Danio rerio: one gene and its partner. The protein of the gene in region 2 purifies or fractionates together with the protein of the main gene of each other region. This does not show direct contact. Links are inferred from orthologs where the notes say so. Each region holds a gene or a part of one and is shown on either strand. Other genes may lie near its edges.

Region 1 (7,099 bases), on a different chromosome or scaffold from region 2:
TTTTATTTTGTCATTCGCGCTTCCGGTATTCTGATGCAGTAGAAGTTTCTAACTTCTCACTGTGGAATTACCCAAGTTCATGTCCTTTTTCAGTATGACTATTTATAGGCGCTATAATGCTGCAGTTTTAAATTTTGTTAAACTTTTTAACAGGAAGATACCAACAAGCTGGTACATGTTTATTTGCATTTTCTTCTTCAAATACCTTTCTGCTATATTAAAAAAGGTCTCAGCAGTTTTCTGTTGGGTGATATTTAAGCTATTTTGTGTTTGACAAGGTATAGTCAATTTGATGTATATTCACTCACAACAGTAGCCTTTTTTTAAAGATTTTTTTATTATCTTTTATTATTATTTATTTATTTATTTGCATTAAGGCGGTCTCCGTTTAAATCATGTGAGTGTTAACTGTGTATTCAAACATTGTGCCAATTACTGTAATTACAAACTTACAAAAAGCATCCACACCCTCTTAGAACTTGAAATATTAACTTTTTCAGAGATCCTACTTACATTATTATACATTTAATATTTTGGCAGAGCAGAGGCTTTCGCAAAAGGAATGCTCCACTTCTGTGGAAATAGGTTAGTTTTACAAGCTCGCAAGAGCTAAACTGTTGAGTTTGACCATTTTTTAATTCCATTCAGCCAATCTCCTGGTCTGGCAGAAACACTAATATCTAAGCATAAATCATTGAATCAGATTAGACCATTAGTATCATTAGTATCAATTTTTAATTTGCAACAGTCTTAGTACATGAAGAACAGTAACTACAGAGGATCAGGCTTTAAATGGGAAAATTATCAAAATTCTATTTACTTATTTGACAAAATGCTAACGGTCTAATCCAATTCAGTGATTTATGCTAAGCTAAGCTAAAAATGGGTAAAGACCTAGATAGGGCACAGCTGCGGATACGCACGTCAATATAGCATCATACTTGTGATGCTGTGTAACAACAATTAATATTTTTACAGTACTGTGTTGGTTGGGTTTAGGGGTAGGTTAGGGGTATAAAATACAACTTATTGGGTAATTTACTAGATAACACAAATAATACTAGGTACAACTACTGTTCTTACAGTACCATGACGGTTGGGTTTAGGGTGGGGGTAGACTAAAAAAAGGACAATTTATTGGCCAGTTTATTAAATAACATTATACTCGGTACAACTACCGTTTTTACAATACTACAAACATTGGGTTTAAAGTTGGGGTAGAGGTAGACGTTTTTTAAAAACACAATTATTGGAAAATTTAATACATCAGGGGTCACCAAACTTGTTCCTGGAGGGCCGGTGTCCTACACATTTTAGCTCTAACTCTTATCAAACACAACTGAACAAGCTAATCAAGGCATTAGGTATACTTGAAACACCCAGCAGGTGTGTTGAGGCAAGTTGGAGCTAAACCCTGCAGGGACACCGGCCCTCCAGGACCAGGATTGGTGAACCCTGTAATACATAATAGAAATAATTCTCGTCCACTTCCGGACGCAACCTTATCTGATCTAGCAACAACCCTAAAAATGACCCCACCAGAGCTGGGGATTGACTGAATGGATTAAAAATAACGTAAAACTCAACTGTTTAACTCTTGAAAAGCTGTAAAATAATACTATTTCCAAAAAAAGTGGAGTGCTTCTTTCAATTGTTCTATTTGGTAATTTAATGTTTAATGAAAATAATAATAATTATTATTATTAAATATATTATTATTAAATAATATGATAACTTCTAATTAGTGTAATGCAGTATACAATTTATATACAAAGTCAGAATTATTAGCCCCCCTTTGATTTTTTTTTCTCTTTTTTTTTAAATATTTCCCAAAATTAAGTTTAACAGAGCAAGGAAATTTTCACAGTATGTCTGATAATTTTATTCCTTCTGGAGAAAGTCTTATTTGTTTTATTTCGACAAGAATAAAAGCAGTTTTTGATTTTGTAATAAACATTTTAAGGACAAAATTTTTGGCCCCTTTAGGATATATATATATATATATATATATATATATATATATATATATATATATATATATATATATTTTTTTTTTTTTTGATAGTCTACAGAAAAAAACAATTGTCATACAATAACTTAACCTAATTATCCTAACCTGCCTAGTTCATCTAATTAACCTAGTTAAGCCTTTAAATGTCACTTTAAGCTTTATAGAAGTGTCTTGAAAAATATCTAGTCAAATATTATTTACTGTCATCATGGCAAAGATAAAATAAATCAGTTATTAGAGTTGACTTATTAAAACTATTATGTTTAGAAATGTGTTGAAAAAAATCTACTCTCCATTAAACAAAAATTTGGGGAAAAAATAAACGGGGGTTAATAAATCAGGGGGCTAATAATTCTGACTTCAACTGTGTGCTGTACTACCTGACCACCACTTATTCATTTAGGTCAGGGGTGCCCAAACTCAGTCCTGTTGGGCTGGTGTCCTTCATAATTTAGTTTCAACCCCAATTAAACACACCTGCACCAGGTAATCAAGCTCTTTCCAGGTATACTAGAAACCACCAGGCAAGTGTGTTAAAGGAAGTTGGAGCTAAACCATGCAGGACACTGGTTCTTCAGGACCGAGTTTAGGCACCCCTGATTTAGGTGCTATGTTTTGGCATTTAAACCGTAGTAGCTTAATTCAGAGATCAGAGTTCAATTTGGGCTATTATGTCAAGGCTCAGCATATTTGTTAATGGAACAAACTACGAGTAAAGCATTACTTGATGTTTTACGCCAAAGTTCTTCTGCCACAACATAGTTACAACAACGGTGTACACCTCAAATGGCTGCTGTGATTTGCATAAAAACAAAGTTGCGAGATATTTGATGGAGAATGGATGAGTTTCATTTTAATCTTTGCCAATTTACAATCAAGCCACCAAAAAAATTACAATCCTGTGTATTTCTTCCTCACCCTCCCCTCATAATTATTATTATTATTTTTCAGATTCTGCAGATCACACACAAAATCTTACAGGTGGACAAGCATCGGTATCCATTCTGTGTATTCATTCTTCTGTACACTCCGAATAGTGAGCTAGAACAGCACGACACCTGGCACTCACACACACACACACACCTTAATACAAAGTATCGGATGAGTAAACACAGAAGTCAGAAGAATCAATGTATCCCTTGCTCATTTATGGAAATGGATTCACACAAGAAAGAGCACTGTATTCAATACAAGGAAAGGTCACCTGTTACACATGGAGTGGATGATGAGATGTTAACAACTACGAGGTCGATCGGGGGGGAAACCTGTTTATGCTAAGGGATTAAAATCGTTTACTATATTCATATCTGTATGCGCTTAAAATTCCCATACAGCTACATATTTGTGTAGAATATCAGATTATTACTTAGTGTTAGCTAAATGTACCCATGGATGCATACGTTCATGTTCAAATATCGTCTTTAACCTTTTTTTTCCAGAATATACAATAATGAAATGCATTAAACAGACTGACAGTGTAAGCTCTTCACATACAATACATCAAAATTAAGAGATTCTACATTAGTTTCCTCTCACGACAGAGTGCAAATCAGATGCTTCACAACATATTTTAAGGTTAATTGCTCTTCTCAACACTCCACTTACATACACAACCCATGCCCCCTTAAAAAAAATCAGCTCACAAAAAAAAAAGAACTAGTGATATAAGTAGCCTTAAATATGGAATGTGAAATAACAAAAGTGTGGTCCGATTTTTTTCTTTGACAACACAAATAAAAATGAAGTCCTTCATTGCAGGAAAATAATTTAAAACATGTAACTTTTTTTTGTTTGTTTGTTTGTTTTACTTTATATAACCTTGTGAGTAGACCACGATAAGCTTTGTGAGGAACTTAAGGAGAGATGGATGGACAGCTGTGGGCAGGAGGGCTTTACATGCCATAGCCGAAGCCGGGCTGTGCGGGTTGGGTGTAGCCGGTCGCTGTGGGGTAGCCATAGCCGTAAGGCTGCTGTGGGGGAACTGCCACATTGGGACCTGCAGTGAGCATCAGCTGGGGTGTGCCTGAAAAAAATCATTCAAAACAGGAGCATTAGTACTGAAACCATGTATATAATTTGTTTGTTCATATTTAACAAGCTTTGAATGCAACAGTAAAATAGAGCTTAGATCGAGCCCAAAAAATTAAACCTGACCCTACTCGAGCAACTTGTGTCCAAGTCTGACCTGGTGTGACACATTAACGGTAATTATGAGCCTGAAGGCTGATTTATACTTCGGCGTCAAGCGCAGGCTCTGGCTCAAGGCTGATTTATACTTCTGTGTCAAACACACGTGTATGCTCCGGCACAAGCCTACGCATGGTCGCATAGCCCTCGTCATCGCTAATGTACACCTCTCAAAAATTGTTACTACAAGTCACAACGGCGTGTAGCGCAAGCTCCGTGATTGGTCGGCTGGGGTAGCTGTGACGAGTGTGGGCGGTGTGTGCAGTGTTGCCAACTTTTCAGACCCCCTTAAACTGAGATATATCCAGCTACAGGCCCGCAGAACCACACACGTTTTAGGCACACACAATCTGGCACACACAATCTAGGCAAACCATATATGGTTACGACGGATGTTAATGTTATTAACGTCTTTTTGAACATCGTCATCGATATGTTTTGATATATATGGTTAATAAATATTGTACACAACAAACAATAGTGTTTACTTTACTTTATTTCACAAATATTGTGATCGAGATGGCCGAATGGGGAGCATTGCTTCCGATCGCCATTCAATATAATAGACTGAACAGCTTTTAATCAGTCATTATAGCAAATCAGTCATTATTATCTGACAATAATATGGCAGATACGCGTTTGGTGGCCTTGCTGAACTATCTAATTTGGACAGGTTTAATTTATATAATGGATTCATTTATAATGAAGGAAATAATAGCAAGTAAATATAGGCAATAACACATTATATGTAATAAAAATCTTTTTACATGTAACAAATGTATAACAATATATTAATATTTTACTCAAAAGCGATTTTATAGTGTTTATTTGCTTAACTTTCTAATAACCTTTTAATGAATGATTTCCCACATTTAATACTGTAGTAATTTATAGTAAGCAACAAATTGTTTTTAAATCAAAATTTAGCAATAAGAACAAATTAACTATTAATAATTAATAAAAAATAATAAGTAAAAAAAAAAAAAAATATATATATATATATATATACACACACACACACACACACACACACACACACACAGCTGTGACAGTTTAATAAAAGATAGTTTATATATAAACTTATAATTATAATCAGTTAAGATAATCAGTTTATAACTATATATATATATAACTATATAACTATATATATATATATATATATATATATATATATATATATGTATATATATATATATATATATATATATATATATATATATATATATATATATATGTATATATATATATAGTTTAAATGATTAACTATAGTATGCTAATTTATTTTAATGTGACACAATATTGCTTGCTTTTTATATTTTACAACAAAGTGATTTTAACCAAGTATGATAAGATTAAGATCCTAATTTAGTTTATTACACTTAATCTTACAATTAGACAGTCTGTTATGTTTTCTTTGTGTATGTGGACACATGAATAAAGTCATAAGTGTCTTTAACCAATTATTTTTATTTACATAATTTGATTTCAGAAACTGCAGAGATGATGATAATAATAATGACTTAAACCATACTTGTGAAATTCAATAGGTGGCGATAAAGCTAAAGAGTTAGTTAGTTACCACATATGGTTTGCCTAAATCGTGTGTCCTAGATTGTGTGTGCCTAAAACGTGTGTGGTTCTGCGGGCCTGCAGATGGATATTATTGCTTAAGCCTGGTTTATACCTCTGCTTTGAGTGATCGGCGTCACCCACGGCGCATGCAACGCTGTGCATTCATACTTCTGCTCGCTGTTTCTGTTGCTCTGCAATAATAATTCCTAAACTCTACCTGGCAGTAGGTGTTCATGTTCCTCAGTAACGAGTTTCTTATAACTATTAAAGAGATTTTTGTGATAGTTTTGGAACTTGTGTGTTTATAATGTTTGGGAGATTACTGCAAATTCATTATACATCTATATGAATATTCAAACAATTAATTTAATTAAATTGACATTCATATATAAAGCATAGTGCAATTGTAAATATTTCCATTGCTATAAATATTAACCATAGGCTGTAAAAAAACTGCTGGACATGATGACGTCAGTAATATGCAAATTGACGTATGACGTAATTTAGCAACATTTAGCAACTTTTTGAGCATATCTTAGCGCCTTTTCATTGAAAATAGTTGGCAACACTGTGGTGGTGCTAAGAGCCACGAGCCATAGGGGAGCGAGTGTTTACAAGTGTTGGGTCCCGTAAAGGAGCTCCAGATGGAAAATGTTGTTTTGTGTTCACCTTATGATTAATGCTGTTGCACGTCCGCCATTTCCCACCTCTGAATAAGTTTGTTTTAGCTACTTGTACATTTAAAATCTGATCACTCGACGCAGAACTAAAAATCAGCCTTGAGCCCAATTTAAACTCGACTATTTTTTTAATAAGTGAGCTGTTACAACATACTTTCTCAGCTACAACTCTGAGTTGTTTGAACTACAGAAATTAGTTTAGATTTATCTTACCTCGCTCTCAGGGGCATGCTTGAAGAAGTGACAAAAGAGGACATTGAAGACTGACTATCATACTTTCTGCATACCTGTCAACCCTCCCGTTTTTTACCATTCTATATGGCTATCATCCCTATTAAAGATTTTCCCCTACCTTTCTTTGTAAAGTGAAAGTATTAATAAAGAGCTGATCTTAAATGTGATCTAGTCTAATTGCAAAAGCTGTTCAAGAGGATTATGCTTTCCTTTTATTTTATTTTGACTTGAAATGATGATAAAATTCAATATGCAGCCTCTGAATCAGTCAATCCACATAATGCCTGTTTCACGTCACACATGCAGGAAGTAGCTGTGGGCCTTAGTACAGATGAGAATTAAAAATAAATAATATATTTATATATAAAGATAGATAGGTAACTAGATATAGAGACAGATCGATCTGTGCAGCTGC
Region 2 (8,461 bases):
AGGCATCCAGGATCGAGTCCGGGGAAGAGAGGTTCCAGAAACCAGGTAAGACAAAAACAGAATCCAAAAAATAAAGCGAACGAGTTCATAACTGAGGGTGAGAATGCGGTGAAATCCGAAAACGTGGTAAAAAAAAAAAAACAGACGAGGGCTTTTCTTTTTCTAGACGGCTTTTCTAAATTGTTGCTCGGGTTTAAGAAAGTAAATGGGCGAGCGGATCAATAGGTAAAACTGGTTGGGTTCAGGGAAGGAGGAGGGTGGGTCAGCCGATTGGCCGGTTGCGCGGTCAATTATTCGGTCAGTCAGACAGTGGCCTCTGGTCGGTTGACGCGAGAACAGCGCGGGCGCAAACGGCACTCGCGAGAGACGATCAAGATACGAAAAAGCGCGCACAGCGGCCTCTCGCGGATTCGCAAAAACAATAACTGCACAAATACGTACCTCCCGTGACGTATTTCGCGGTCTCCAGAAACATCCGCTGGACTACGTTTTCAGAATGAGCCTGGGTTGGACAAAGCGCGCATAAATGGTTTAAAACAGTTGTCATGTCAACTTGCTGCAGTAAACAAAGCCCACAATGCTTGCTCCACCTTTAAGCTCTTCTGATTGGCCCACTGCTCTAGCACTGAATGCGAACGGATTGGTTAATATCAGCTGCCAATCACTCATTCGATGGCTTTCTTTAGATGACAGGGAGAGCTACAACCGCAAACATGTTAAGGGCTGGAGATGAGAGGATGAAAACAACACTGACAGATTAAGTTTTATAAAACACCTAAAGTTACAAATGATGACACATCTGATTAATGATCATTTGGTGAATGTTAATTCACCGTTTACTCTTTTCAAAGAGTGGATAAAAGACATTCAGTTTAAAGTCCGCTATGAAAATGACTAAAGCATTCACCGTAAAGCCGCTGGGACTGAGTTTGCAGGTAACAGCGTTTGTCAAATCTACACATTTTAGCACAAGAGGTTCTGTTTAATTCTTCATTTAATCAACAGGATGCTGTCAGCTGTATGTAAAATGTAACACCACGTACACAATCGCAAAAGGGCTTGCATTCATTAAGATAAAACTAATATTGCAGCTCATAAAAAAACCGTATTGCTATTAAGATGACGTATGCAAATAATAAGCTATTATGTCAGTCTTATCTGTGCAATATTACACAGCACCCGTGAGAACTGCTAAGTTAACTAAGTTTAATTCATGTCAAGCAGTGCATGCAGGGCTGGTGGGCACATGCAGATGTCGTTTTGTTAGATTGTTTAGTGTTTATTTCAAATGCAGTAAGTCGGTTAATATAACATTAAAACTTGTAGTAACGGTGCTTATAATTGGTGGGTGTGACTAAATTTTGGCTGGTGCTCCTAACTTTTTAAAGTTGGGAGTACCAGTGCTACCAAGAAAAAAGGTTAATTTCGAGCCCTGTTTTACTGTACTTGAATACTGTTAGACAAGGGAAATGATAAAACACTTTATTTCAAGAGTACATTTTTCTTGATTGTATTTATAGATAGTTATGTAATAAAATACAACACATGCAGAAATGCACTGCAAATAGCACAGACCACTTCGAAAATGTATAATGTACTTGATTTTAAATGCATTAGATTTTATGGAGATGCACTCCACTACAGAATCATCCCAATCGATATATATATATATATCTTGGCGGACTTTAAACTCAATGTCTTTTATCCACTCTGAAAAGAGTAAACGGTGGATTAACATTCCACAAATGATCATTAATCAGATGTGACATCATTTGTAACTTTAGGTGTTTTTAATTACACAGCAAATACACTATATATATATATATATATATATATATATATATATATATATAGGATTTTCCAATATCGTCCAACCTAGCAGACTTCATTCTCATTTTCATTCTCATTTTCATCGCAGACTCATTTTGAATGTTACTATTGTTTTGCCATATTATTACTGCATAATATACACCATTTTCAATAGTGAAAAGAACAGAATCTCGTTAAAATATAATTTGAACCCCATTTTATTGTATTTTTACAAACCACGCTGAAAATAATGGAATTTGAATAAATGCATATGAATAAAGCAAATAGTTGATCAAATGTCAACATAAATATAAAAGCTAAGCATCATAAATATTTCTCGGCAAGTGAAAGTTTGTGCAAGTAAATGCATTTTGTGAAGTGAAGGTGTGATTTTCTGAGTGAAAGTGAGATACATTTTTCCTGCTGCATTGAAAAATGCATCAACAAGATCCAGTTTGAATAAGAAAACAATATATACACTAGGGATGCAACCGGGTTCACTATTAACTGCGATTTAATTCGTCACACCGTGTTTCTGCACTGCTGAAACTTAACTGCGCTAGTTTGTCACTGAGACTAATAACCACGCACACTAGATTAACTATGACCGAGGCTAAGGCAAGCTCATGCAAGTTCATTATTTCCACTGGAGGGACGCACACACGACGTACAGCGCTCTTGCTTTATTATTATTAGTTATTATTAATGGCGCCGATAAGAGCGATCATGTAGTAAATGTTAAATCACCAGCCAAGATCAACAGAGTGATTTTAAAGAGTGCTGAAAGAATTGGATTGGATCAGCTGTTTAATGGCCTAAATCTTGATGCGTTGCATTCACCGCAAATTTCTGCTAAATGTAAAACCTAACAATGTACACATTATCGCCCAAAGAAGCTCGCCTTTACTAAGTTTAAACTGAAACTGCGGCTCATGACAACAGTACTGCACTGGTGGTCATCTACAGAATCCTGCTCTACCCCGCTTGTATGAGCCGGCTGACTCACTGTTGTTGTTTTTTTCACACAGAGTGATGAAAATCAGAGCATAACGAGACTAAGCATTTACAATGAACAAACCGAAACCAAAACTTTTAAATAGGAGCAGAAGTGAGACTTTTCTTCCTTTCTTTTGTCCATTCTTTCTGTTTGTAAATTAACCAGCATATAAAACAATAGTGCAAAATAAACTTTTCTTACTGCAATGCTTAATTTTTTTGATGCAAACCATACATTTATTTATCATAAAGTAACAGTAGGACTTTTTATAGCAGATAACTCTCACATTCAAAGCAGCAAGAAAATGAGAAATGTTAATCATTCATTGTTAGTATTAGTGTCATCTTCGTCATCAATAATATTTTAGAATTATTAGACATTCATTTTGAAGTTATTGCGCAAATATCAATAAGTCATCTCAGCATTAGTTAGATAGTTGTTTGTGGTTTTTGTTAGTCCTAATTGATGTTGTTTTCAAATACAATAAATCCCTTAATATACAAGTTGCAGTGGTGTTTATTAATTTTTAGTGGGTGCTCCTACATTTTTTTATTTATTCTTTCTTTTATTTATTTATTGTTCTGTCATTTATTTACAGTGTAAAATTCTTTGTTTAAATGTCAAAAACATTCACTTATTTTTAAGCACAAAGAGAGAAATTTACTATTGTTCGTTTTTTATATTATTTTGTGCTTTATTAATTAGCTACTGAGCAGCAATAAATAACACTGTAAAGCAAAAGGAGTTTTTATCTTATTTTCTAAACTGGTGGGGCTTGAAATTAATAAATGCATAATAATTGTGATAACCGTGAAACCGTGATTATTTCCATGACTATAATCGTACAACCAAAATGTATAATCGTTGCATCCCTAATATACACACACACACACACACACACACATATCTGAATTTTTTTATTTATTTTTTTTTTTGGGGGGGGGGGGGGTGGATATTATACAGTATATAGTTTTTGACACTAATATGACAAGATAACAAAATGAGTTTTTGGCACCTAAAGATGCTCTGTTTACATAAGTCCAAAATTCTACAAATATATTTTAAAGGCTATATCTCTTAAATGATTATTGCAAAATTGCAACAACATATGAAATAGGTAACAATTTAGTTCAAGTACTAATTCTTACTATTAACAACTGGCTTATTGCCTGTATATTAATGAGATATTAACTGTTTGGTAGTACTTAAAATACATATTTTGCATCCCTAACCCTACCAAACACATAAAGCCAACTAAAACCTTACTATTAATAAGCAGCAAAGTAGAAGTTTGTCAAACTACAAGTCAAAATTAATGATTTATTAATAGCAAGAGTTTTACCATAAAATGAAGTGTGGCCAATGAATGAATGAATGAATGAATGAATGAATGAATGAATGAATATATGAATGAATGAATTGCAATGTAAAGTTTTGTTATTATTATTTATTTTTAAAGCTCTCACCAAAATCATTTTAAAAGCTAGCTGCAATAGCCACATTAATGTCATGCATACTGTATGTGTGCATAAATGCAAGTATAAATCGCTTTAAACGACACACATTTCGTAGAATGACCCTTGGGGGATTATAAAGGTGGAACCATTACGACGTTTAACCAGAGCAGTCGCGCATGCGCACAAACGGCAGTTTACAGTCACCTAATTCAGCGTTTAAAGCATCCATCATTCATACGATTGGAACCCAAATAACTAACGTTACCTCTGTCAATGGTTTCCACAACTTCAGAAGAAAGTTACACTCGTTATAACTGCACACATAGGATATCCTGTCGAGTTTCCATGACATACTGCCTGCCTTAACTAATTTTCTGGAAAACTTTGGTCACACACACACGCAGCTTACAAAACACCATAGAAAAAGCTCTCAAAGAAAAAAAACTAAACACAACCAAAAGCAAGATTAAGAATGAATTTAACTATCGCTGATATACATGTATTCCTAGTAGTTTGTTAACCGAACTCGTTGTCATACAACCCTGCGTTTTAAACAAAATTCTGCAAAAATAAATGACATTGCAAACATTGACATAACAAAATTCACTGTAACCATACTGAATGAACACATTCATTAGCAGCATGCTAGCGCGCCACTGTAGAAGCAATTAAACACAACTTACGCCTAACAACACCTTTAGTTGCCACAAAGCGCAGTCAAGCAATAAATAAAGTAAGCGAAGTCACTCACATTGTGTGTAAATCCGGTAAGAGCAGCTTCTTTTGAGGACAGATGAGCGACAGACTGTCCCGGTTAGCGGTGACAGATTCCCTCCTCGATGCTGAATATTCCCTTTTCCAAAGCCGCTGTCGTTCCTCTCTGTGTGTCCGGCTTCAGACTGAAGTCCACTGGAATAACAGCGACCTCAACGGTGACACAGTAGCGCTGACTGACACAGGTGGTGTCTCAATACACAGGGTCATGACTGGCAAAATAGTTTGAGTAAAAGCGGCATGCAGTAGGCGAGTGCAGTGGACTTTACATGTACGCGCTACAATGATATAAGTTACTTGACGGGCTTCACTACAAATACATGACGCACCATTATGCTGCCTAGGTAGGGCGCAAACTAATCTTTTAAGACGTAGCCGATACATTGATTGATCTAAATGACACGAATAACTGGTTGTTTACTATAAAGGTGATATAGAATATGTTTTACGAGGAATATTTTAGTTTTAATGACTAAATATATAGTATGTCATGGTAAATTTTACCAGTTCTTATCGCTCAAATCAAGCTGCTTATTAGTGTTATGTAAAAAAATAGTGTTATCATCACATAAAAACATCAAACATACTAAAACAGGTCGTCTAATATTAAAAGTTATCCCCTCAAGCACATTATTATCGTCTTGTGTACACTTTACAACCTAACGTTAAAGCTAATGTTGTTTTCATTTTGGCTAACCAAAAACCTTAAAAGAACGTTCTGGGAACTAAAAGAAGGTTAAGTTAAAACGTTCTGGTGGCTGGAATCAGTTCTTCAAGTTATAAACTGTATTATTGTACTAAAACAAGTCCCAGTTCGTTAACGTACTAGTAAAGTTTAATTCAGGATGGATAAAACTTGCTAAGGGATGAGGAGAAAGTCACAAGGTGCCTACTGGGTTGCCATAGTTACTAAAAGGCGCGCAACTGATACAAACTGAAGGCTCATTAATATTTTATTTGGCTTGTAATTCAAAACGTATAGAAGTATTCCTAAGTTGAAATCTTAAACCACATTGAAAGCAGACTTTGTGTTTGTAAATCTAATTAGGACACCTGATCTCTCACTACGTGTCGCTATATCAAATTTCTAAGCAAAAAAGTTATAACAAACAGTTTTTTTGTGTGTGTTTAAGACTCTGACAACCACTCTTCATCCCATATACGACTTCATGCTGTTGCTTTGGGGTGTTATACAGGTTAACTATAGCCTCCAGCTTGAGTTACGTATAGTCTCACAGAATATCTTGGGATGGAGACAGAGTAGGCCTAATATTCGACATCAGTTTCCCCAGAAACAGCTAAACAAGAGTTTTAAGTCATCTGGTGAGCCTGAAGAAGCTCCATTAATTAGATTTAATGCCACGCTGACTTCTGCATTTCCCAAGAGCATTGCAGACATAAAAACAAACGTGCATAAAGCATGCAAGGTGTACCAGAGCACATTTGCCAGAAGCAAAAAATATGAAAGAGTTCTTATAGCAAAATGATTATCTTAAAATAATAATTTTTTATGTAGCCTATATTACTAGCTCTAATGGGAGAACATATGAAGTAAGGGGGTTATGCCAGCTGGGACACATTATAAATAAAAACATAAAATAACCAGCATAACTAGAGTATGAATATGCTCTGAGATCAGATCTCGAGACGTAAAAATAAATCAATTTTATTTAAGTTTAAATTTTATAATTTAAATGTTTTTTTTAAATGTCAATTTCTAGACATTGAGATTTATACATCACATGAAAGTTGAATAAATTTGTTACTTTGATGTATGTTTTGTTATGATTTGGCAAGTTTTAGTAAATATCCCTACTGAAAAGAATTGCTTAAACCAGCCTGGTTTTAGCTGCCAGGCAGGTTTTAAAGTGGTTTTGGCCACTGGTTTCCAGCAATTTCCAGACTAGTCTTAGCTGGTCAGGCTGGGAGATGACCAGCTTAAACCAGCTTGACCAGCCTAGCCAGGCTGGGAGCCCAGCCAAAACCAGCTAAGTTCAGCTTAAATCTGGCTGGTCAAGCTGGTTTTACCTAGTCATCTCCCAGCCTGACCAGCTAAGACGAGTCTGGAAATTGCTGGAAACCAGCCTGGAAGTGGCCACAACCCCTCTAAAACCAGACTAGTCAACCAGCTAAAAGCAGCCAACTAGCTTAGGCTGGTTAAAGTTGTTTTTTCAGTAGGGATATCAGAAAAAAATAACTAAACATCAAGGAAAGTTGTCTTTAAATTGAGTCTATAATGCTTGCACTGTAAAAATAAATCAAGCAAAGTGATGAAAACAAATGTTTTGCTACTTTACATTATTGTTAAAATGAGCTAATCCGGTTTCATGTTTTTTTTTGTTTTTTTTTACGTTGTACAAAATGTAACTTAATAGTTGGATGCAAGCTAGACAAGTTCATTTGATTTAACTAAAAAAATAAGGCAGCAAGATTTGTTTTTACAGAGTAGTAATGTACTCTCACCGGCCACTTTATTAGGTACACCTTACTACTGTAGTACCAGGTTGGACACACTTTTGCCTTCAGAACTGCCTTAATCCTTTATGGCATAAACTCATCAAGGTACTCCTCAGATATTTTAGTCCATATTGACATGATAGCATCATAACTGCACATTCATGATGCAAATCTCCCATTCCACCACATCCCAAAGGTGCTCCATTGGATTGAGCTGGTGACTGGAGGTCATTTGAGTACTGTGAACTCATTGTTCAAGTATCAGAAGATGGGTACACTGTGGTCATAAAAGGATGGACATAGTCAGCAACAATACGGAGGAAGGCTGTGACATTGACATGATGCTCAATTGGTACTAATGGGCCAAAAGTGTGCCAAGAAAACATCCCCCACACCATAACACCACCACCAGCCTGAACCGTTGATACAAAGCAGGATGAATCCATACTTTCATGCTGTTGACGCCAAATTCTGACCCTACCATCTGAATGGCAACAGAAATCGAGACTCGTCAGACCAGACGTTTTTCCAATCTTCTATTGTCCAATTTTGGTGAGCCTGTGCTAAATTCCATCTCATTTAGCTGTTCTTAGCTGACAAGAGTGGCACCCTGTGTGGTCTTCTGCTGCTGTAGCCCATCCACCTCAAGGTTCGACGTGTGTCAGCTCAAACCAGTCTGGCCATTCTCCTCTGACCTCTGCCATCAACAAGGCATTCGCACCCACAGAACTGCCGCTCACTGGATATTTTCTCTTTTTCAGGCCATTCTCTATAAACTCTAGAGATGGCTGTGCGTAAAAATCCCAGTAGATCATCAGTTTCTGAAATATTCAGACCAGCCTGTCTGGCACCGACAACCATGTCATGTTCAAAGTCGCTTAAATCACCTTTCTTCCCTATTCCGATGGTCAATTTGAACTGCAGCAGATCGTCTTGACCATGTCTAAACGCCTAAATGCATCGAGTT

The links. The genes of interacting proteins can lie anywhere in the genome.
Region 1: the proteins of myo6b (region 2) and cltcb purify together in Homo sapiens (affinity purification with western blotting; 4 studies listed by BioGRID and IntAct, with this or other methods). This does not show direct contact. The link is inferred for Danio rerio from reciprocal best matches to the Homo sapiens genes MYO6 and CLTC.

The regions. Positions count from the first base shown.
Region 1 is NC_133190.1:19,767,626-19,774,724, reverse strand, and holds the end of cltcb (clathrin heavy chain 1), read right to left. Parts: intron 4,035-7,099; coding exon 3,904-4,034; 3' UTR 2,838-3,903; downstream 1-2,837. UniProt on the Homo sapiens protein: Clathrin is the major protein of the polyhedral coat of coated pits and vesicles. Two different adapter protein complexes link the clathrin lattice either to the plasma membrane or to the trans-Golgi network.
Region 2 is NC_133192.1:38,702,930-38,711,390, forward strand, and holds the start of myo6b (myosin VIb), read right to left. Parts: upstream 5,165-8,461; 5' UTR 5,015-5,164; intron 1-5,014. UniProt on the Homo sapiens protein: Myosins are actin-based motor molecules with ATPase activity. Unconventional myosins serve in intracellular movements. Myosin 6 is a reverse-direction motor protein that moves towards the minus-end of actin filaments.